Arabidopsis thaliana: one gene and its partners. The protein of the gene in region 1 interacts with the protein of each later gene in a pairwise test. Each region holds a gene or a part of one and is shown in the gene's direction. Other genes may lie near its edges.

Region 1 (5,870 bases):
GAGGGAACAAAATCTTGTTTTGGTTAAGAATGAACAAATGAATAAAGGAATGAAAGAATCCAACGTCAAAAATTAATAACACAAATCACATGATAGTACAAGCATGAGCATTATCATCGCTAAAAAGATGAAGAGCATTTTCATCGATATTAGGTTGAACTTTTTGGGATGAACTAGGATAATAACCATTGATAGTAGAGTTGTTTGTATTTTGAAAGTCGTCAACGTCATAGAAATCATACTTTCCACTATATGAGATTGTCTGATATATCTTCTGATCCGATTGTTCCAAATGTTGAGAAGGATATGTATAGTAATCACCATAATATCCATTGTAAGGAAATGGCCAATATTCCGCTGTTCGTCCCGTTCGTTTCACCATCTTTAGAACCTCTTCTCGATCAACGTATCCCGTGACTGTCACTTTTTGTCGATCCACGTCTATCTCTACCGTGTCCACTCCTACACATATTTATTATTATACTGTTAATCAAGATTTGCCTTAAGACCAAACATATATTTATGAAAGCTAAATGATACGACTAAAATCGATGTTTGATTTTGTTTTTCTGAATTTTTCTTACCATCGAGTTTAGAAATGGCTCTTCGAACCTTCTTTTCACATCCTTTACAATCCATGTCTACCAAAAGCTCCACAATCTTAAACAACAGAAGAAAATATACATTAGAAAATGAACAAAACGTTTGATGATAACCATCAATAAAAAGAACAACGAACAAAGACATAGATGGCAACGTACAGATAAAGCGATTGGTAATCGAGAGTTTCCATGTATCCAATCAAACATTCTCTTAATTATCTTGTCGATCGAGAATTTACGTTTTGTCTTAAGATCTTTTTGCTTTCAATATAATATTTTGGTTGTATGTGTATGAGATATATTTATATAGGTGGAATGGAAATGACTGCGCGTATTAGGAACACTTGGTGTGTGATTCCAAGAAACCGCGTTTGCGTCTTGTGAGATGCAAAAAGCTTATGTCCTAAGTCTTACATTATATATCTTGTGTCTTGGTGTCGCCAGAGTTTTAATTATTGTGTCTTATTACTAGAGTAAGGGTTTACCAAAATAATATATGAATTTTAGCGTATTTCAAAGAATTAAGAGATTAGCTTAAAATTATATTAATTAAAAATGATGTAGAAGCATATACAGAAACTTGTCTCAATCGTTTTAACGTTTTTTCTGTCCGTAGAGTTAAGAAATTTGACGAGATTCAACATAAATAAATGTATTATTGATTTTATTTTATTTTTAATAAAGTTTCGTTGGATATTGAAAACTATAAGACCGACCAATCTAAATTTTATTAGTTTTGATTTCCAGGCAATTAATCCGAACCGAAGTGGCATACGCATATTCAAAAGTCAAGATCTCCTGCCTACCAAATAGTGGATATATACAAAAATTACAGACACATATTAGCTTATTAATGTATATATGTTGATAGAATGCATGCAAGTCGTGTGAATAGCCAAAATGTGAATATATAGCATTTCCAAGTAGAGAAAATGAAATCCAAATCATTTGAATTTGTGAGGTTTCGAAATCTACTAAATACGTAAACGAAATAACTCGCTTTACCACCAATAAAAACAAAATCAAAAGGGCAATACAACACATTATGATGCAACTTGATCACTTGTGTACTCTATAAGTTACATTTCGCAGAAAAAAAGATTGAGAAACCTTTTTAATTTGTGTTACGTAAATTACCGAGAAGAAGCACATAAGCAAAAACCATATCTTGAAAGAAAGATTTTGGTTCTTTCTTAGTTTTGTGACTTAAAATAACACAGAGATTAATGATTAGGAACGTCAAGGATGACTAAACCGGTCCGGTCCGGCTCTAAACTTAATTCATCCTTGATTTGATGATTAATGATTTATTTAAAAGTTTATGTCCGGTTAAGGCCCGGTCCAGGAATAAGATCAAATGGGGATAAAATAGTCTTTTACTACTCACCCAACCTGCCGGAATATTGAGACACATCATCGTTCAAAATCAAAACCCCTAAACTCAAATTCTCTCTCCGTTTTTCCGGTGAAAATCAGTCGCCGTTCTCCGGCCACAGTCTACACTAACCGTGTCATTTCGAGTCTCATCAAACCTTTGAGCAGATAAGTAACTGCTACGAATTTGCACACCGAAGTCACTGTTTCAATCTGAATTGCATCTTTAAAAAAGGGACAATGGCATCTTTTCCTCATCCCGGTTCCGTCACCGTCTGCGAGATCAACAGAGACTTGAGTATGTTAAAGCTTTTCCCTTCCATTGAAAAATGTAGGGATTTCGAAACTTCTGAGCTAATGGTTAGATTTTCGTAGCGCAGTTACGGCTCAGAACTTATCTGATGAGCGAGCTCAGGAGACTTATGGAAAAGTTCTTGTACGTGGGCGTTTCTCTTTCGTTTCTGATTTCTTATAAGCTTAAAAACCATATTTGTAAGTAGCAAATGTTTTCTTTTTGACAAATTTCCATCGGATTTGGGGGTTTTGCGTTTGATCACAGGGAATGGTGTTTAGCCCTGTTTCGTTCGACTCTACTCCTAGCTCTCTTCAGGAAAATGAAGGACAAGAGAATGGAGATAAGGCAAGTGGTGAGAGTAAAGGACTGGTTGCAACACTGCAGATGAAGGTTGCAGACTCTCTTAAACAGATTTTACAACCCACCGATGTAAGAGTTTCAACTATCAGTCTGTTTCTTTGTTTGGTTGACTAAAGAAAGCTTAGCATTTTGTGATTGATGGTTACAATACTTATCTTTATGTATCTAGGGGAATTGATAGGAGGGATGTTCTTTGCAATTTCAAAATGGCATTATCATAGCTGTTATTAATAAAGCCACAGCCTTGCTCACCTTTTCTTTTCTAGGTAACTCTACTCTCAGAGATTGATCTTCAAGGAGTGAGTTGGCATCAAGGGAAGCATATTATTGCCTTTATATCCGGTGCAAATCAAGTTACAATTCGTGATTATGAGGACAAAGGTTTGTTTTATTTATTCAATTCAGGATTCCTAGTTCACATTTGCCGGTGTGTGCATACAGTTTCATATTCTTCTTTTGAACAGATGAGAAAGAACCTTGCATTTTGACAAGTGATTCACAAAGAAATGTTAAAGCCCTTGAGTGGAGACCAAATGGTGGAAAATCCCTATCCATTGCCTGTCGGTGTGTATTATTGGTCTTCTGATCCTGTCTACTTTCTAGAGTAGCCAGTTTCATAGATAACTAAGTTTGATTCTACTGTAATAACTGTTCCATTGAAACAGGGGAGGAATATGCATATGGGCTGCTTCATATCCGGGTAACATGGCATTGGTTAGATCTGGTGGTTCCGCATTGAGGGGAAGTCTCTCTCGAGGATCTGGAACTCGTTGGATTTTGGTGGACTTTCTTCGGTGTCAAAATGATGAGCAAATTAGTGCTCTCTCATGGAGCCCCTGTGGAAGATATCCTAAACAAAATTTCTGCTATAACTGTTTTGCTTAACTTCATTTTGGAGTTGTTACTTAACTACATACGTTTCCATGATCATTTCAATTACCATAGTTGTTTATCAAGCCGCATCGCATGATAGGCATTTGTTGGGAAAGTATTTGGATTTGTTCGATCTTTTCTGTCTTTGCATCACATGGATCCCTAACTTTGTCCATCCTGTTACTCCTTGACCTATTTTCACGTATTTAGCATCAGCCTCATATGACAGTTCATCTTTCACCATATGGGATGTTTCTCAAGGTAACTAGAACGACAATTAAGAACACTTTCTTAATGCACAACATCATGCAAATGTTTGAACATTAATCCAGCTTCCTCTTATTTAACATCCTATCTGTTGCGTTGAGATGAGAAAATGCATCTTGCAATTCCTTGTTTCTGAAAGTGATATGTATACATCTTCCAGGGGCAGGGACACCTATTAGACGGGGACTAGGTGGAATATCAATGCTTAAATGGTCACCTACAGGAGACTACTTCTTTGCAGCAAGATTGTAGGACATCAACTCTCTTTCTTTTTTACAGATGTGGAAAGTAGCTTCCTGTTTGATATGATTGCTAATAAAATGTTTTTCTGTCACAGTGATGGGACTTTTTGTCTTTGGGAAACAAACACATGGACATCTGAACCCTGGTCTTTGTCTAGTGGATCTGGATCTGTCACGGTAAGATCGTGAGCCTATAATAGTGAGATATGCAATAGAGTATTGTTAAAAGCGTTTTGTTGGAGAGGTTAACGTCACTAGTGTGGTATGCATAGCTTATGTACATGACTCCATTGTACTAAAGCATTCATTTCCTTCTTTTATGTATGAAATTGCAACTGTGTTCCATCTTCGTAAATGGACCAAGCAATAATACTATACTCCCTTCTATGATAGGGAGCGATATGGGATCCCGAAGGACGGTTTATCTTGATTTCGTTTTCGAAATCTTCAACACTGGGCTCTGTTCATTTCTCATCCAAGCCACCATCCTTGGGTATGCAGAAACTTTGAAGTCGTTTTGCCTATACTACTAGAAATACTTACCAGTTAGCACACTAAATCTCTGTTTTGGTTTACTTTCAGATGCCCATCTATTACCAGTTGAATTGCCAGAGATTGCTTCTCTAACTGGCTGGTAAATTATTTGATTGTTTTGTTCAATAAACCCTTGCAAAGGCCTTCCGTTAATCACTTCTTGATATTGTCTTTCATAACTGAAATAACCAGTGAGGGCATCGAGAAGATAGCATGGGATGCATCTGGAGAACGATTGGCTGTGTCGTACAAAGGAGGCGATGAAAATTACAAAGGATTGATTGCCATCTACGACACACGAAGGACACCTATTGTATCAGCATCACTAGTGTAAGTAACTCTTACTGTTATCCATTCCATCGGACTTGACCTCCTTTTGTATATCTTTGCATTGTCTAAATGGATAGACAAAATCTGATGCTTTTATGATTACAGCGGTTTCATCAGAGGACCTGGAGAAAACCCGAAAGCTCTCTCCTTTTCATTCCATGACAAGTTCAAGCAAGGTCCACTCCTTTCTGTGGTAAGGCATATGCTTGATTAAGTCTCTTTTCATGCCAAAGTATTCATACAGGTAGAATCGGTTAGTTAATTAATCTTCCAAATAAACCTTGTTGCAGTGTTGGAGCACCGGATTCTGTTGCACCTATCCTCTCATCTTCCGCTCACATGTTCTTCCTTAATAGCCAAATGGTTCAAATTTAATGCAAGTTTCAAACTTTTTGGTTCTATTTTGTAGACTGCTCACTCTTTGTATACAAATGGTTTCTTTAAAGAACTCAGCTTTGAAGTTAAATCCAAAAACAATGGTTGCATTTGAAGTACATTAATGGTCTTTGAACACCAAAAAGAACATTACAAAAAACGAATACGAAAAGCAGCAAACAGTTGAGTCACTTAGACATTCTTGTTTTTCTTCATCTTGGAAGGTGGCCATCGACCCTTCTTCCTCATCTTACGCTTACGAACCAGACGTTTCCTGCGTAGCCTAATCTTTTTGGCCAGCTTCATCTTCAGCCTCAATTCCAAGAGCAGTTTCTCTTTAGCTTCTTTCGATTCCAACGGTAGTTTATCCACTGGAACAGCAGCAACAACAGTCTTTGGTTCCTCCTTGCTCTCAGGCTCAGCCCCGTCCACGCCAGAAGCAGCCGCCTTCACCACAATTCTTCCATGGCTAGAGTTCAAGCTGTAAGCACTGAGAGAGACTCTGTTCTTGGACTCGACAGCGTTGGGTTTAAGGCTCAAAACTGAAACACAAAAGATTAGAGCATTACAAGTAAACCAAGTGTTCGATTAAATGCTTCGATCTTTAAGCTTAAAACC
Region 2 (5,531 bases), on another chromosome or scaffold:
AATAACAAATGAAATGAAACGACGTTTTTGTTTTCTATTGGGTAAGAATTAAATTTCTAGTAAATCTGTTATAAAATTTACATACATAGAGTGTAATAAACAAAAATAAGGGAGCAGTTTGGACAAAGAGTTTGCAGTGAGTCTGATAAAACGACACAACCTGATTCAAGTCTAACCATGCAACTAAATTGAAGACCTAGAAAAATTAATGTTAATTGAGTTTCAACTAACCATTTCAAATTTGTGTTAAGCTAATTTATTTATCTTAATCAACTAACGTAATTTGTTTTTAAACTGCTATTTGCTAAATTCATTATGTAGGAGTAGCCGAGTAGGACCCTGAATGGTACGCTCAAAAGAGGTAGCAGCGTCATCGAACTTAACGTTAGGACACCCTATGATTGATCGTATCAAATGACCAAAATTAAAAAGATGATTGAGTAAACCAATTAATTTTGGTATATAAACAATCTTTTTATTATCGTACACATTTTTGGGATGTGATGTGACTAATGAAAGGTTTAAATATATTTAAACATGATAAACGCAGAAACCACCATATAGAGGAGAAACTAGAAAAATATAATTTGTCAGTCATGTGTCTAAATCCACACCTACTTTTTTCTCATGCTTTTTTTCTTCCTGCAAATATTGCATTTCCTTTGCCTCTCTCACACATTTCCTCTGTCACTTTCTTTTTTATATATTTTTATTTCGGAATTCCATTACCGTGAAAAAGCTTTGTTTACAACAGTAATTTTGTTTCAAATGCTTTCTTGTTGTCTATTTTTATCAATTACTATGCCTCTGCTTGAATAACTTAAAAACACAAGTGATGTTAATTGTGTTATTGTAGATCCTATGAACAAATTTAATTTATAGACGTGTGAAGTTATAAATGAAAGATATCATTGAGTGAGTGATCACCGTTGCAGATAATGTTTAAAGAAAAAAAAAAGGAACAGTTCCTTGTTCATGTCATCATGTGTTGAAAACGGAAGGAGGGAAAGAAAAATCTATCACTCTCAGATTCAGAGCCTCACGTGGGGTAAACTTAGAATTCTATTTTTAGGTACGAATCAAAATATACGACCCGTCGCTTTTAACATGTCATTTATTATACCTTTCACTCTCATTTCCTCCATGCTTTTTTTTTAAAACGTAATTAGACCTATTCATTCTCCATAATATAATACATAAATACAACTTATAAGATTAATAGCCTCGTACACTAACATTAAAGAGTAAATAACCGTTTGTATTTTCCATCTTTTGATTAATGATAACTATAATTTATGAAGAACATCCATAAACTCATGAGTTTTATTTTGAACGCAACATCCATATTTAGCTTTACATTCATTTTTTTAATAAGATTTCAGTCATAGTTCGAAAAATGAATGTTGGGTTGGTTCCGATGGTAAAGCGAGCCGTATCAACAAAAAAGGCCCAAATAAAAAGTGGTATACTGTTGGGCCTAAAGATGAATATACAGAAGCCCATATTAAGACAATTCGGCCCATTCAGCATTGCGTAGCAATCGAATTGATATTTAGCAAATCGAGGAAAGCAATTGACTAACTAGATAATACTGATAAGTGGGTCCCACATAATTCTGACAGCTTAGAGATGGAGAAGATCATCACCGTTAGTCCAAGTTGGGTCAATAAGGCTTACGCCGTTGGATATCAAGATATCCGTTAGATCGCATACACGTGGATACTGTTCAATACTCCTGACCGCAGGGGATAAGACACGTGTTATATTAACGAAGAGTAAGAATGGTTTCTAATAATTTCTTCGCTCCCTTTCTTCTTCTTCTCTCCTTCTTTGAATTTTGATTTTGGTTGAATGGAGATATCAGAGAGAGTTCGAGCTCGATTAGCTGTTCTCTCAGGTCATTTATCGGAAGGAAAACAGGATTCTCCAGCGATCGAGCGATGGTGCACGTCGGCGGATACGAGTGTCGCACCGCTTGGATCTTTGAAGGGAACACTGACGATCGTCGACGAACGCACCGGAAAAAATTATAAAGTTCCGGTCTCAGATGATGGTACCGTTAAAGCCGTTGATTTCAAAAAGGTTTAACCCTTTTTCTAAATGACCATTTTCCTATCACTGTGGGATTTTGAGCTGAGAATTTGCTTTGTTGCGTGTTGTTTGGCTTGCAGATAGTGACGGGGAAGGAAGACAAGGGGCTTAAGTTATACGATCCAGGTTACTTGAACACGGCTCCTGTTCGATCTTCGATTTCTTACATCGATGGAGATGAAGGGATCCTTCGTTACCGTGGCTACCCAATTGAGGAAATGGCTGAGAACAGTACTTTTCTGGAGGTGGCTTATCTTCTCAGTAAGTGTTTTACCTTTTAACCTTACTACACAATTTCAAGTGTTATGTGTATCGAATTGGACATTGATGAAAAGTTTTCTCCTTTACTATATTTTCTGGCAGTGTATGGGAATCTGCCCTCTGAAAGTCAGCTATCTGATTGGGAGTTTGCAGTTTCTCAGCATTCAGCTGTGCCACAAGGTGTATTAGTGAGTCTCTAATCCTTGGTTGATGGATTTCAATTTCGATTTGTAAAATGGAGTTAGCCTGTTCTTTACTAGTAGCCTATTTTCTTGTCTGGTCGAACAATAATTTGTCAAGACTGTTCTATACATGTTGTTCTGAGGATTGTGTGCTGTACTCAAAGCTATATATTTCTCATATCTAACTCCACTTACTTGATAACTTTTGTGCAGGATATTATACAGTCTATGCCTCATGATGCACACCCAATGGGAGTTCTTGTGAGTGCAATGAGTGCGCTTTCCATCTTTCATCCTGATGCTAATCCTGCTCTTAGGGTAGGTTTAACCTTATATTACTTCTCTAACAACATGTCAGGCCTTGTCACTCGCTAGTTTTAGCTCTTTTGAAATTGTCCGTATAAACATGTTGACTGATACTCTATTGGGTGCAGGGCCAGGATATTTACGATTCAAAACAAGTTAGAGATAAACAAATTATCCGCATTATTGGAAAGGTATTTTTTTGTTATCAGTGGTTACCTTACTTCTTCCTATATTGTGTCACGCATAAACATATTTGGACTCTGAATTTCATGAAGATCTGATGCAACTAAACGTGTTTGCGATTTGTGCAGGCACCAACAATTGCAGCAGCTGCTTATCTGAGGATGGCAGGAAGGCCTCCTGTTCTTCCTTCAGGAAACCTTCCTTATGCAGATAATTTCCTCTATATGCTTGATTCCCTGTATGTCTCTGCTATCTCTTTCTTCTTGAATTAGTTAGAAACTCAACTTTTAGATTTAGTTTTAGATCTTGACGCTTCAGAGAACTTGAAGCCTAGTTATTTTTTTACTGTGTACATAACTTGTAGCGTGCCATTAACACACTTCTTACAGGGGAAATAGATCCTACAAACCTAATCCTCGGCTGGCTCGGGTGTTGGACATCCTCTTCATACTGCATGCAGAGCATGAAATGAACTGCTCCACCGCTGCTGCTCGGCATCTTGCCTCTAGGTACTTATCTTTGGTTGGAATCTTAGTGACCTTGATAGGAGATATATTGATTAGGAAATGTCTTCTTGTAGCGGTGTTGATGTCTACACTGCTGTTGCTGGAGCTGTGGGAGCGCTTTATGGTCCACTTCATGGTGGTGCAAACGAGGTATGCTATTTATTCTCATGTCTTCATATGTTACATCTTCTGATGTATTTTCATGCTCCATGGTCTTTGAAATTCATGTCTTTGGTTCCATTAGGCTGTGCTTAAGATGTTGTCAGAGATTGGGACTGTTGAAAATATTCCAGAGTTCATTGAGGGTGTGAAGAACAGGTAAAATCAATTCTTGAAACTATATGCTTCCGTTTCCGAGGTTTGTGACAAGTCTTTTCATTAAAATTCTCATCCCTTTGACATCTTAGGAAGAGGAAGATGTCTGGTTTTGGACACCGTGTGTACAAAAACTATGACCCTCGAGCTAAAGTCATCAAGAACCTGGCTGATGAAGTATTTTCCATTGTTGGAAAGGATCCTCTAATTGAGGTACGCTATGTCCACGAAGTTCAAGCTTATACTACAACTTGATGCCCACCTTTTCGATTTAGTGTAATTTTTCATGTTTCCTTAAAGCCAATGTGTTTGATTCTGATGTCTGCAGGTTGCTGTTGCACTTGAGAAGGCAGCTCTCTCTGACGATTACTTTGTTAAGAGAAAGCTGTATCCAAATGTTGACTTCTACTCTGGATTAATATACAGGTAAAAGTTTGAATGCATGTGCAGTATCCATAACTTCCTCTCAACTTCATCTAAATCTGCAAACTTGGACCATTACAACAGGGCAATGGGATTTCCACCGGAGTTCTTCACGGTCTTATTCGCGATTCCTCGCATGGCTGGATACTTGTCACATTGGAAAGAGTCACTGGATGATCCTGACACCAAGATCATGAGACCACAACAGGTATAGTTAATCTCTTTCCAAGAATAATAAGAGAAAGATTTTTCTTTGGATCAATTTGAAACTTGGATGGTTCATTGGAATATTAAATGTTGCAGGTGTACACAGGCGTGTGGCTGAGGCATTACACACCAGTGAGAGAGAGAATAGTGACGGATGACTCGAAAGAGTCAGACAAATTGGGTCAAGTCGCGACTTCAAATGCATCAAGAAGACGTTTGGCTGGATCTTCAGTTTAGACGTAGGCCCTTTTAGGGTCCATACTATACATCAAACCACACCGCAAAGAATAAAAGAGATTGGTTTCTCTAGCCTAAAGCTAAGATACTTGATCATACTCGAAACTTAGATTTCTCATTTTGTAGGCACAATATAGACTTGATCTATATTTGCTTCAATCCATCTTCTAAGGGTGTTTGTCCGCCTTGTTTGTCTTCTTATCAGAACGTGTTTATTGTATAAAATGATTTATGGTTATGGATTATTACTCTAATTTCTATATCGAATGCTTCTGCAGAGACGTTTGTTGTGAAATATCTCGGCCAAAGCAACAAGTAGAAAACAAAGCACTTTATTAAATCATTGTAAAAACTTTTGAAGATCTATTGTTACAAACTAGGATATCATCAAGCCAGAGTTTCAAAACTCGGAGTTCTTGAAACTTGAAGTAGCCATGTAAATGATACACTCGAAGAAAAAATGATCTGTAAAAAAGCTATATAAGTTACATTACATGTTTTTGTCTGGTGGCTGCATTTTTTGAAGTTGAAGGAGCAGTCCCAGGAAGGCCGTTGATCCTCCTTGGAGGTAGCTTTTGTCCACCAGAAGGAACGCTTCTTGAAGTTGAAGGCGCATTAGCGGATAAGCCAGTCCTCTTTGGAGCAGATATACTATACAAGACATGATCCGTCAAACCGATCAAGTTTGGGGGATAAAGAAGTGGATCCATATAGATATATAGATACTGAGGACATGTTACCTGAAACTCTTCTGAATCGTGTTCTTTTTAGTTTCAGTAAGATTTCGTCCACCATAAGGAATGCTTCTTGAAGTTGAAGG
Region 3 (5,009 bases), on another chromosome or scaffold:
GAACTCTTCCTGGAAATGGAGGCAAATGGAATAGAGCCAGATTCGATTGCTTGTTCAGCTTTGATGAGAGCTTTCAACAAGGGAGGTCAACCGTCAAATGTCTTTGTCCTGATGGATTTAATGCGGGAAAAAGAAATCCCCTTCACTGGTGCGGTCTTCTTTGAGATATTTTCGGCTTGTAACACGTAAGTTCTTGTATGTCTATTTAAAACATTACAGTAAAATACTTGCTCGAATTACAGAAAGAGCAATATATCACCCTTCTTCTTTCAACATTGCAGCTTGCAGGAATGGAAAAGAGCAATAGACCTCATCCAAATGATGGATCCGTACCTGCCATCGCTTTCTATCGGGTTAACTAATCAGATGCTGCATCTTTTCGGGAAGAGTGGTAAAGTTGAAGCAATGATGAAGGTACAACGAACTTTTAGTTGATCAGCTAATTAGACTTCCACATTATCTTTCTTTTCTGCCAACCTGTTTACAAAAGAATGTTAACGAAACCATGTTGTACCACTAAACACACGCAGCTGTTCTATAAGATTATTGCCTCTGGTGTTGGAATCAACCTCAAGACTTATGCAATACTGTTGGAACATCTTTTAGCTGTTGGAAACTGGAGAAAATACATTGAGGTAATACTTTTTTGTTTGTCTCTTGCCAAATGAATTTCAATTAGCAATGACCAAGCAAGTTTTGCGGTTGAGAAATAAAATTTGACTTTTGTGTGAATGATTTGCAGGTTTTAGAATGGATGAGTGGTGCTGGTATTCAACCCTCGAACCAAATGTATCGTGACATAATCTCCTTTGGTGAAAGAAGTGCAGGGATCGAGTTCGAGCCTCTAATACGCCAAAAATTGGGTGAGATGAGAGAGGAATGCAAAATAAATGATTCTGTCACATGATTTTCGATCTTTTTGGTGTCTCACATTTCATTTTTTGTTGGTTATTCCATAGAATCACTGAGAAACAAAGGAGAAGGTCTGATTCCAACTTTTAGACACGAAGGCACATTGTTGTAATTTCCACTATATGCTTGTATTTTTGGCCCAGTGATTATGCATATGATGTTTGTAACTTGTAATCTCCTCTATCGATAATATGATAATTCAATTCAGAAAACGAAATCATTTTAGTATTGAAAATAAACGTAGATTGTTGGCTAGAGTTACATATTGAATTGCTATAGGATCCAGCTTGTATGTGCAGATAATAGATAAACTGATACAAGACATTCAATTCAACCAATCATTTCAAAAAGTTTGAATTATGATTTTTAAATGGAATGATTCGATGTGTAAGTCATTACAACGGTAGCAATATGAAGAATCAAATGGTAGGAAAGAAAATCCGAATTTAAAATATTCCGAAAATTATTAAGCTTAGTTTGATAAACAAAACAACAACATCGTGAGTGTACCATAGGAAGAATATTCCTTGGAACGAGGCGAGAGTTGGGAAACACTTCACATTAAAATGTCAGAATCCAGAAACAGATCACGTACACGTGGACATAATTAGTACACGTCAGCATATAAACCTATTCTACTAATGACGAAAGCACCCTCGTCTCCGTACATAGCCGTTGCAGTTATTATCTTTCGCTTCGTTGAAAAAGGAAAAACAAAATTGGGACGTAATGGTAAATTAAGTCCGTAATTTTATTTTGCCGTTGTTTAGATTACTAGAAAAGACTCAAAAATCAAAATCATTGTATTCGGTGAAAAAGGAAAGAGTCAAAGTTGAATTTTCTCAGCTCTCACTCTCTTTTTCTCTCTCTTTACTTCTACTGTATCAAGAAGCTCCGTTTTGCTTAGCCATAGTGCGTCTAGGGTTTGGTTGGTGGGAAGAAGGTTCCGATCATGGCGTCGGTGTCGTCGTCGGATCAAGGACCTAAGACAGAAGCAGGATGTAGCGGCGGAGGAGGAGGAGAGAGCTCGGAGACAGTGGCGGCGAGTGATCAGATGTTGTTGTATAGAGGTTTTAAGAAGGCGAAGAAGGAGAGAGGTTGTACAGCTAAGGAGCGTATTAGTAAAATGCCTCCGTGCACTGCTGGGAAAAGGAGTTCCATATACCGGGGAGTCACCAGGTACTGTGACTTTTCAAATCGGGATTGTCGGTTTATGATGCGGAGGAGATTGGAGTATAGGTTTGGTTGTGAATTGGGAGTTGTGTTATCTGTATTAGAGTATGGAATGTTTGGATTGGTGGATATGCACTTTGGTTAGGGATCTTGTGTGGAGCTAAATTATCTGGAATCTGTAAACTGTTCTAAAACACACTAATTTTCACCTAATGTCAGATTTTATAGTGTCTAGGCTCAAACTAGAAGAAATGAGTAGGTGTGCTTAGCATCTGTATGAGGTTTTTGTTCCATAGCAGTTGGAGATGTTGATGCGTTTTGTTTGTCGTATTTGTGTTGAGTACAGACATAGATGGACAGGTCGTTATGAAGCTCACCTTTGGGATAAGAGTACCTGGAACCAAAACCAGAACAAGAAGGGAAAACAAGGTTCCTCTTCTTCTTTTTTTTTTCTCTCTGCATCTGATAAAATTGCTGTTGTCATTTGCAATAAGTTTTCTCTTGTTTGGAGTATCAAAGCTGATCTTTTCTGTTTCCTATATATTTTCATGGGTGACGGAATTTCGCCACACCAGTTTATCTAGGTAAGCTAAAAGCTTTATATGTGTTGATTATATTCTTGTATATCAAATTGGATAATTTTTCACTGAAGAACCCAACTCTTACTTGACAGGAGCATATGATGATGAAGAGGCTGCTGCTAGAGCTTACGACCTTGCTGCCTTAAAATATTGGGGTCCTGGGACACTTATAAATTTTCCGGTGAGATTGCTACCGTAGTATGCTTTCTAAGTTACTCTTCAACCGTGTGGTTTCCTTAATAATTTTCATGGTCAATATATATGCATAAGTGGAGTAAGGATGGTTAGAAGTGTTTTGGAGCCACCCTTCTCAAGTTTCACTGTTTTTAGCTACATGCATTTACGTATTTCATTCTCGTAGGTGACTGATTATACCAGGGATTTAGAAGAAATGCAAAATCTCTCAAGGGAAGAATACCTTGCATCTTTACGTAGGTGCGTATGTATTTAAAAGCACTATAGTTTTCTTTTAAGAACCATTTATTGCTGATACTCTTTAGATATCCCTTTGGCAGAAAAAGCAGCGGTTTCTCTAGGGGAATAGCGAAATATCGTGGACTTCAAAGGTAAAACTGGACCAGCAATTGAGTTCTCATTTCTCTGTTTTGTCTGAAAAACTATGGAATCAAGAGTGATCATCTTTGTGTAATTGCCTATAAGGAAGATTCTTTAGTGACACATTGTGGATCATCACGGTTTTGATTAATTGACATATGGTGGATATGCTACTAGTTAATTTCATAGAAAAGTCTATATGCTACTCTTAAGAATAGGGATATGGCAAAACTATCTTCACTGTTTTGGCTGTAGCCCTCTTTAGTTTTGTCTTTTTAACCTTCTTTCTCACAATTAACATTCATACCTGATATGCATTTCTGCTGTCTTTCCATCTATTCTGCACTTCCCGACCAGCCGATGGGACGCATCAGCCAGTCGTATGCCTGGACCTGAATACTTCAGTAACATTCATTACGGTGAGTTGCTAACAATATTGACCTAATTGAAACAAATGTTTGCTTGCATCAGACTATTCAAAACTCATTGTCATTATTAACAGGGGCAGGTGATGATCGTGGAACAGAAGGTGACTTTCTAGGTAGCTTTTGTCTGGAAAGAAAGATTGATCTAACAGGATACATAAAGTGGTGGGGAGCCAACAAGAACCGTCAACCAGAATCTTCATCAAAAGCATCAGAGGATGCAAACGTCGAAGATGCTGGTACTGAGCTTAAAACACTGGAACACACATCCCATGCAACAGAACCATACAAGGCGCCAAACCTTGGCGTCCTTTGTGGAACTCAGAGAAAAGAAAAAGAAATATCATCACCATCAAGCTCTTCTGCTTTAAGCATCTTGTCTCAGTCGCCTGCCTTCAAGAGCCTAGAGGAGAAAGTGTTGAAGATCCAAGAAAGCTGCAATAATGAAAACGATGAGAATGCAAACCGTAACATCATCAATATGGAGAAGAATAACGGCAAGGCAATAGAGAAACCAGTTGTGAGTCATGGAGTTGCTTTAGGCGGTGCTGCTGCTTTGTCTCTTCAGAAAAGCATGTACCCACTTACCTCTCTCTTAACGGCTCCATTGCTCACCAACTACAATACATTGGATCCTCTTGCAGACCCTATTCTCTGGACACCATTTCTTCCTTCAGGATCCTCTCTTACTTCAGAGGTTCGTAGTCATATATCTATAGAACCAGAGACTTCAGAGGTTACTACAACACATCTTCCTTATGTCATTTTCTTTGGCTCTCTTTCTTCTGCAGGTGACAAAGACAGAGACCAGCTGTTCCACGTACAGCTACCTCCCACAAGAGAAATGAGCCGTTCCCTTTAGACTTTATGTATGTCAGATTCTCCTTTTTTGAGATGAATTCGTCGACTTGACATCTCTTTGTCTCTTTTATGGAGAAAAAGTTGGGAAAAGTGTGACAATGGTCTGAAGCAGGAATGTACAGGTTTTGTTAGTGGTTGTGTTTTTTTTTTTCCAGTGTGGAATATAGAATCATGATATTTTGTGTAAAACAGAAAAAAGTTATCATTATAGTATAGAAGTTTGCTCTTAATATTTCTGCACAAGGTATAATATAATTTGATTGTGACCGATCTAATTATTCATCTCTACCAAATGTTACGACTATGTATTATCACATCATCTGCACAAGACTTATCTAGCTTTGATACAACTAACTGAATCCTATTACCCAGACAGGGACTGAGTATATAATAGTTCCAATCGCAAAAGAAACCACAATGGTAAAAGATGCATACGCATAGGCTCTCCATGGGTAATCACTTTCTCTCATCGCATTGAACTCAGCCATGAAGGTCGAAACTG
Region 4 (5,781 bases), 1.5 Mb from region 1:
ATGGGCTGATAAAGCCTTATACGGCCCAAAACATTATTAATTCACTTACCGAAAATGCCCTTATCACATATCACGAAGATACGAACACGAAGAATGCGTAGTAGTCGCCTGTTACTGGAATTATTTTCAATTTCTGAAATCAAATCCGATTGAGAGAAAACACTAACTTCAAATTCGAGATCTGAATTAGGGATTCTAGAGGATGACGAAGGATTTTCCAATTCCACCGGTTGTTTTCCCCACCAGTGGATCATCTCCGGCCACCGCAAATGTTCAGCAACGCCGAGTTCCCACAGCTCCTTACCAACCACCACGTCAATCCTCCGCTTCATCTTCAATCCCTTTCATTCCATTTGAAATCGGATCCGCCGCCGTTTCAATGCCGGCGGGACCATTCGACGGAACAATCGCTTCATCTGCATCTTTCGGTAGAGGAGTCTCTGCTTCGTTTGAGGATGAGGAGCCTTTACTCGACGAACTCGGTATCCATCCAGATCAAATCTGGAAGAAAACTAGATCGATTCTCAATCCTTTTCGAATCAATCAGACTGTTCACAAAGATTCAGATCTCTCTGGTCCGATCTTCTTATACCTTGCGCTTTGCTTATTTCAATTGCTCGCTGGGAAGATACAGTTTGGTGTTATACTTGGTTGGGTTGTTGTTTCTTCTATCTTCTTGTACATTGTCTTCAATATGCTTGCTGGTAGAAATGGGAATCTTAATCTTCATACTTGTACGAGTTTAGTTGGTTACTCTCTGCTTCCCGTTGTGATTTTGTCCGCGGTGTCCTTGTTTGTGCCACAAGGTGCTGGTCCCGTTCGGTTTGTGCTCGGTGCGGCTTTCGTGTTGTGGGCTACTAGAGCTTGTTCTAATCTGGTGGTGTCTCTTGCTGATGGAGGAGAAGAGCACCGTGGATTGATTTCGTACGCCTGTTTCTTAATCTATACTCTGTTTTCGCTTCTCGTTATCTTTTGATTCCTTGCTTTCGAATATTGATAGATTGTTGAACTTTCCGGTGCCATTACTGAGTAGCTTAATGTGATATCTTATAAGTGTTTGTGGTGAAATAGCTGAGACATTGTAAAGGTTTTTGATAACTTTAGAGGAAGTTGTTATTGATGTGGTTTAAGTAATTGAAGATGATGTTCTAAGATCTCTTACTATTGGAAATCTCGAAACGTTTATGCCATATACATCCTTTTGTGGTTCTGTTTGACAGTTTCTTGACATGAACTGTTCTTTGAATTAGATTTGGTGAGAGTATCAATTGCTCATTTTTAGCGTACATGTGTTGCAGTTGTAGTGTAGATTTTCCGAACGTAGAAGCGAGTCACTAAGATGTTTTGATTAAAGATCTTAGGTTGCTTCAACTACCAATGATAAATAAGTGACTGGGGAGAAGTGTGAATGGTTTAGCTTGAAATTGTTCTATAAGCGAGAAAGTAGTTGATCAGAAGATACACATGACGAGCTTTGGCCTGGCAATGGCATTGCATAAGATAGCGAAACTATCATACTTCGATTGTCTCAATCACAATTGATGCGTTCGAAACAAATCTAAACGCAAACAAACAATCTGAATTATAGAATTGTGGCTTGTTTACGTTCATCATCATTCATGGTTCCATGGACTTCACTGTTCTACATGAGCAAGCAAAAGACTCATAAAATTGTGCAAATTTTTCGTATGCTTATTATCCGGCTAAAGCCCAGAATTCGTTGTATGGGCTTTAAGACCAACATTATAGGCCCATTTATATTAAACATTTAATTTTCTTCATCACTCTCGTCGGCTAACGCTTTGTCTCTTTCACCAACTTATTTAACAGATGAATTTAGTAGCTGTAGTTGTTACTGAAACAGATAAAAATTAGGAGCAAAATCAAAATCATAATCCACTTTTATGTGATCGAGAAAGAGATTCTAAGCCCAGAAAACACCAAAACCTTCCATTTTCATTGGTTCCCATTTTTTTTTCTTTGTAGCTCGAATTCTCTGCTGCCACTACTCGTAAGGTACTCTTCGTCTTTTACATGTTAATGTACTTCTGCTACAATCTCTAAAACTGCTCCCTCTGGAAATTCTGTACTCAATCGTCGAAATGTCTTAGCTTTTTGTATTCGTCTACTGTTTTACAAATTTCTGGAATTCCCCATCTTCAATTTCGTTACTTTAGAACAGTACGATGTGCCAATTGTAGTTTTCTGATTCAAATTGATACTCCTCGGAAATTTATTAATTAAAGCATTGACTTTTCTTTGTAGTATCTTAGCTTCTAGTGTTGAACTTGATCCATATGCTGCTGATATGCAACTGGTTTCCAATTATAGTACTGTAGAATGTGAGTGCCACTTTTTTTTTTTTTTAATCTTCTTCTTGGTTCAGGACTTGACGTTGACCTCTTGTTCTTTCTCTTGAAGCAGTGAAATTGGAGTTTTTAATAGATCTTTGGTTGCTTCTGTAGTCTCAGAATGGCAGCTTATGTTTCTCCCTGTTTAACTCCTCCGGATTCTCGGGTACTCACTGTTCTTAGAAAGAGTGTGTTACCTGATCATCATCTAGGCACGAGGGTTGGTTGCTTAAGAATGAGTGAAGGTACTACTAAAAGATATCGTGTTGTTGCTTCTCATAAGTACGAGTCTTCGTCAATCAGAAACTCTTTGAATTCTCATAGTACAAGCCATTTCCAAAGCCAAGACTCTTTCTTGAATCTCCACCCTGAGATATCCATGCTCAACCCAAGAAAAGAAACTTCCAGTGTTCCCATTACTGAGGATTTGGATGAGTTATCTACTCCAAACACTTACAATGAGGCTAGGATTAAAGTTATCGGCGTTGGAGGTGGTGGTTCAAACGCTGTGAATCGTATGATTGAGAGTGAGATGATTGGTGTGGAGTTTTGGATTGTGAATACCGATATCCAAGCAATGAGAATATCTCCGGTTTTTCCAGACAATAGGTTACAAATTGGTAAGGAGTTGACTAGGGGTTTAGGTGCTGGAGGTAATCCAGAGATTGGGATGAATGCTGCTACAGAAAGCAAAGAAGCTATTCAAGAAGCACTTTATGGTTCAGATATGGTCTTTGTCACAGTATGTCTATAACTATTACTTTCACTTTTTCTTAGTAACAAACTTTTATTTATACTTATTTCTATATAAAGATATAGATTACAAATGAGAAGTTTTACGGGTCAGAATCGCCGTTTGCAATATCATGTTGGTTTTATTGAATTTTGGTGGGTTGCAGTTTCTCTTTGTGTTTACCAGTTTCTCTTTTATCTCCATCTGGTTAAAGCAGTGAGGTTTATGTCTTCGATCATAGAATACTTTCCTGTTTAAAGTACAACCAGTTATGGGTTATTGTGTGAATTTGCTGCCTCCATAGATTGACTGTAAGATTAGATCTTTAAGTTCAGTGCCTAAGCTTTTCTAGCCAAATGTCTTGTTATTTTTCTAGGCTGGAATGGGTGGTGGAACTGGCACAGGTGGTGCTCCTATAATTGCAGGGGTTGCAAAAGCGATGGGTATATTAACGGTTGGTATTGTGACAACGCCTTTCTCATTTGAGGGACGGAGAAGAGCACTCCAGGCTCAGGAAGGGATTGCAGCCCTCAGAGATAATGTTGACACCCTCATTGTTATTCCAAACGACAAGTTACTAGCAGCAGTCTCTCAGTCTACTCCAGTTACAGAAGCATTTAATCTGGCAGATGATATACTTCGTCAAGGTGTCCGTGGAATATCTGATATTATTACGGTATGGCTTTGAAAGTATTTATTCTCTAAGCTATGACATCCATGTTTATAGAAAATGTCTGACTGCAATATCGTTGTGTTTGCATTGCAGATTCCTGGATTGGTCAATGTGGATTTTGCTGATGTGAGGGCGATAATGGCAAATGCAGGTTCTTCATTGATGGGAATAGGAACTGCAACAGGTAAGAGTAGAGTGTTCTTTGGAATTGAACTATTTTATTGATAGGCTCTATCTGCTGCATCATTACGTATGTCGAAGGGGAATATTGGTTTAGAAGGCAGGTTAAAGAACCCTGTGACCAATATAGGCGACGCTTTATGCATATGTTTGTTAGCTAAAATGCTAAGTTTTCAATTTACTGAGAATTGGTACTACAGATGTAGCTGAGTAGATTAATTTGACTATAGATTTAGTACTCTTTAACCATGACAAAGGAATAATGTTTGGTCCACTGCAAGTTGGTATATTGAGGAAAATCCTAAACTTGAACTATTTTGGTGCTATGTTTTGGCTGCATCATCATGCTTAATCTTTCAAGCTATACTGTTATTTGAGCAGGAAAGACCCGAGCAAGAGATGCTGCATTAAACGCAATCCAATCCCCTTTATTAGATATTGGCATTGAGAGAGCCACTGGAATAGTTTGGAACATAACCGGTGGAAGTGACTTAACACTGTTCGAGGTTTTTTTTCCCTCTCTACGCTTTCAGACCATTTCCTGTCCTAGAAATCACTTGGTTTCTTCCCTAGACAATTCATAAAAGAACTTCAGTCCCATGTCATATATAACGTTGTGTGTCTCTATTTTGACTCTCGGGAAACGATTTGTAGGTAAATGCTGCTGCAGAAGTGATTTACGACCTCGTTGATCCAACAGCGAATCTTATATTTGGTGCTGTGGTAGATCCATCTTATAGTGGTCAAGTAAGTATTCTTCTTTCTTGGATTTTCTTCTAACATATAACCTATGAGATACCCAAATTGCTTAAACTTTTTTTCTTCCTGTCAGATAAGTATTACCCTGATAGCAACTGGCTTCAAACGCCAAGAAGAAGGAGAAGGGAGGCCACTTCAGGTATTCACTTGTCTCCCTTGACACACACACACAACATAGCCGATTCTTACATCAAATGTTAAAAGTCTTCGGTTGTAATCTCTCTTATTGCTACATGAAAATACAGGCGACACAAGCGGATGCATCAATGGGAGCCACAAGACGTCCTTCATCATCATTCACTGAAGGCAGCTCCATAGAGATCCCAGAGTTCTTAAAGAAGAAAGGGCGCTCTCGCTATCCTCGCCTCTAGACCCACTTTGATCACTCTACATGATATTGTTGAATGTAAGGAGAAAGAATGTTTGGTGCGGCTATGTAAATTGCCTCTATGGTGATATTCTATAATAGGTTGTTAGAAATTATTTTACTATATTACAAAAATAATGTTACTTGACAGATGATAAATCTTAGTCTCTGTCACTCTGTTTCCAGATTTTGCCTTTGGATAAATGGATAGAAAAACAACATCTAAGACAAATATATCCTATGATGAGACATTGTAAATGGTTTTGGTTATTTAAATCAAACATACGGGTGCACAAATTATTATTTTTACCACAAATTACACATAAATTTCGAAAGAAAGAAAGAAAAAAGGTATAATTAAACGATATTATTGCACATCGTGCAAATAAATTAGTCTCGATGATATTGTTACTAAAAAAACATTAAGGACTTGTGTTGAAAATTCAAAGCTGCTAGCAATCTCGAGGAGGAGGTGGTCTTGGAATGGGTTTGCAAGGCTTTTTATAGTTATGTCCCGGCGTATCTTCACCTCCTCCCTTTGGAGAATCTCCACATGGTGGGGAGGGTCTTACGCATATCTCAGGTTTACCTTTGTAGTTGCACACACATTAAAAAAAAAATTTAGAAGATTAACTTGTTGGTTGTAAATGGATGTAACATGTAAGAAAATACGAACTAATCAGTTTGTAAACTACACCATTTTATATTTGGGACGATT

The links.
Region 2: the proteins of AT3G56900 (region 1) and CSY3 interact in a two-hybrid assay, tested with the Arabidopsis thaliana proteins (one large-scale study listed by BioGRID).
Region 3: the proteins of AT3G56900 (region 1) and AT2G41710 interact in binary tests that used the Arabidopsis thaliana proteins (3 or more experiments, as listed by UniProt).
Region 4: the proteins of AT3G56900 (region 1) and FTSZ2-2 interact in a two-hybrid assay, tested with the Arabidopsis thaliana proteins (one large-scale study listed by BioGRID).

The regions. Positions count from the first base shown.
Region 1 is NC_003074.8:21,064,114-21,069,983, forward strand, and holds AT3G56900 (Transducin/WD40 repeat-like superfamily protein), read left to right. Parts: upstream 1-2,008; 5' UTR 2,009-2,216; coding exon 2,217-2,274; intron 2,275-2,356; coding exon 2,357-2,412; intron 2,413-2,535; coding exon 2,536-2,700; intron 2,701-2,897; coding exon 2,898-3,012; intron 3,013-3,095; coding exon 3,096-3,195; intron 3,196-3,296; coding exon 3,297-3,476; intron 3,477-3,706; coding exon 3,707-3,765; intron 3,766-3,931; coding exon 3,932-4,019; intron 4,020-4,108; coding exon 4,109-4,190; intron 4,191-4,406; coding exon 4,407-4,506; intron 4,507-4,595; coding exon 4,596-4,647; intron 4,648-4,739; coding exon 4,740-4,877; intron 4,878-4,982; coding exon 4,983-5,070; intron 5,071-5,167; coding exon 5,168-5,230; 3' UTR 5,231-5,370; downstream 5,371-5,870. Other genes in the region: AT3G56891 (Heavy metal transport/detoxification superfamily protein), read right to left, coding at 86-462, 585-660, 762-809; PSRP5 (plastid-specific 50S ribosomal protein 5), read right to left, coding at 5,445-5,794.
Region 2 is NC_003071.7:17,802,312-17,807,842, reverse strand, and holds CSY3 (citrate synthase 3), read left to right. Parts: upstream 1-1,769; 5' UTR 1,770-1,851; coding exon 1,852-2,082; intron 2,083-2,171; coding exon 2,172-2,352; intron 2,353-2,454; coding exon 2,455-2,540; intron 2,541-2,747; coding exon 2,748-2,852; intron 2,853-2,968; coding exon 2,969-3,031; intron 3,032-3,151; coding exon 3,152-3,261; exon of another isoform or gene 3,262-3,412; coding exon 3,413-3,532; intron 3,533-3,603; coding exon 3,604-3,679; intron 3,680-3,773; coding exon 3,774-3,847; intron 3,848-3,936; coding exon 3,937-4,057; intron 4,058-4,172; coding exon 4,173-4,270; intron 4,271-4,351; coding exon 4,352-4,475; intron 4,476-4,570; coding exon 4,571-4,711; 3' UTR 4,712-5,002; downstream 5,003-5,531. Other genes in the region: AT2G42780 (transcription elongation factor B polypeptide), read right to left, coding at 5,197-5,362, 5,452-5,531. UniProt on the Arabidopsis thaliana protein: Peroxisomal citrate synthase required for the fatty acid respiration in seedlings, citrate being exported from peroxisomes into mitochondria during respiration of triacylglycerol (TAG).
Region 3 is NC_003071.7:17,399,759-17,404,767, reverse strand, and holds AT2G41710 (Integrase-type DNA-binding superfamily protein), read left to right. Parts: upstream 1-1,717; 5' UTR 1,718-1,864; coding exon 1,865-2,091; exon of another isoform or gene 2,092-2,151; coding exon of another isoform or gene 2,152-2,225; exon of another isoform or gene 2,226-2,313; coding exon of another isoform or gene 2,314-2,344; exon of another isoform or gene 2,345-2,404; intron 2,405-2,431; coding exon 2,432-2,514; intron 2,515-2,660; coding exon 2,661-2,669; intron 2,670-2,758; coding exon 2,759-2,847; intron 2,848-3,027; coding exon 3,028-3,101; intron 3,102-3,166; coding exon of another isoform or gene 3,167-3,181; coding exon 3,182-3,232; exon of another isoform or gene 3,233-3,578; coding exon 3,579-3,640; intron 3,641-3,723; coding exon 3,724-4,508; downstream 4,509-5,009. Other genes in the region: EMB2654 (Tetratricopeptide repeat (TPR)-like superfamily protein), read left to right, coding at 1-185, 282-414, 531-635, 743-863, 960-1,024; AT2G41705 (camphor resistance CrcB family protein), read right to left, coding at 4,858-5,009.
Region 4 is NC_003074.8:19,549,127-19,554,907, reverse strand, and holds FTSZ2-2 (Tubulin/FtsZ family protein), read left to right. Parts: upstream 1-1,806; 5' UTR 1,807-2,016; intron 2,017-2,035; exon of another isoform or gene 2,036-2,342; intron 2,343-2,424; 5' UTR 2,425-2,472; coding exon 2,473-3,093; intron 3,094-3,460; coding exon 3,461-3,760; intron 3,761-3,850; coding exon 3,851-3,941; coding exon of another isoform or gene 3,942-3,982; exon of another isoform or gene 3,983-4,277; intron 4,278-4,318; coding exon 4,319-4,443; intron 4,444-4,591; coding exon 4,592-4,684; intron 4,685-4,769; coding exon 4,770-4,835; intron 4,836-4,941; coding exon 4,942-5,067; 3' UTR 5,068-5,247; downstream 5,248-5,781. Other genes in the region: AT3G52760 (Integral membrane Yip1 family protein), read left to right, coding at 203-976. UniProt on the Arabidopsis thaliana protein: Exhibits GTPase activity. Component of the plastid division machinery that forms a contractile ring at the division site.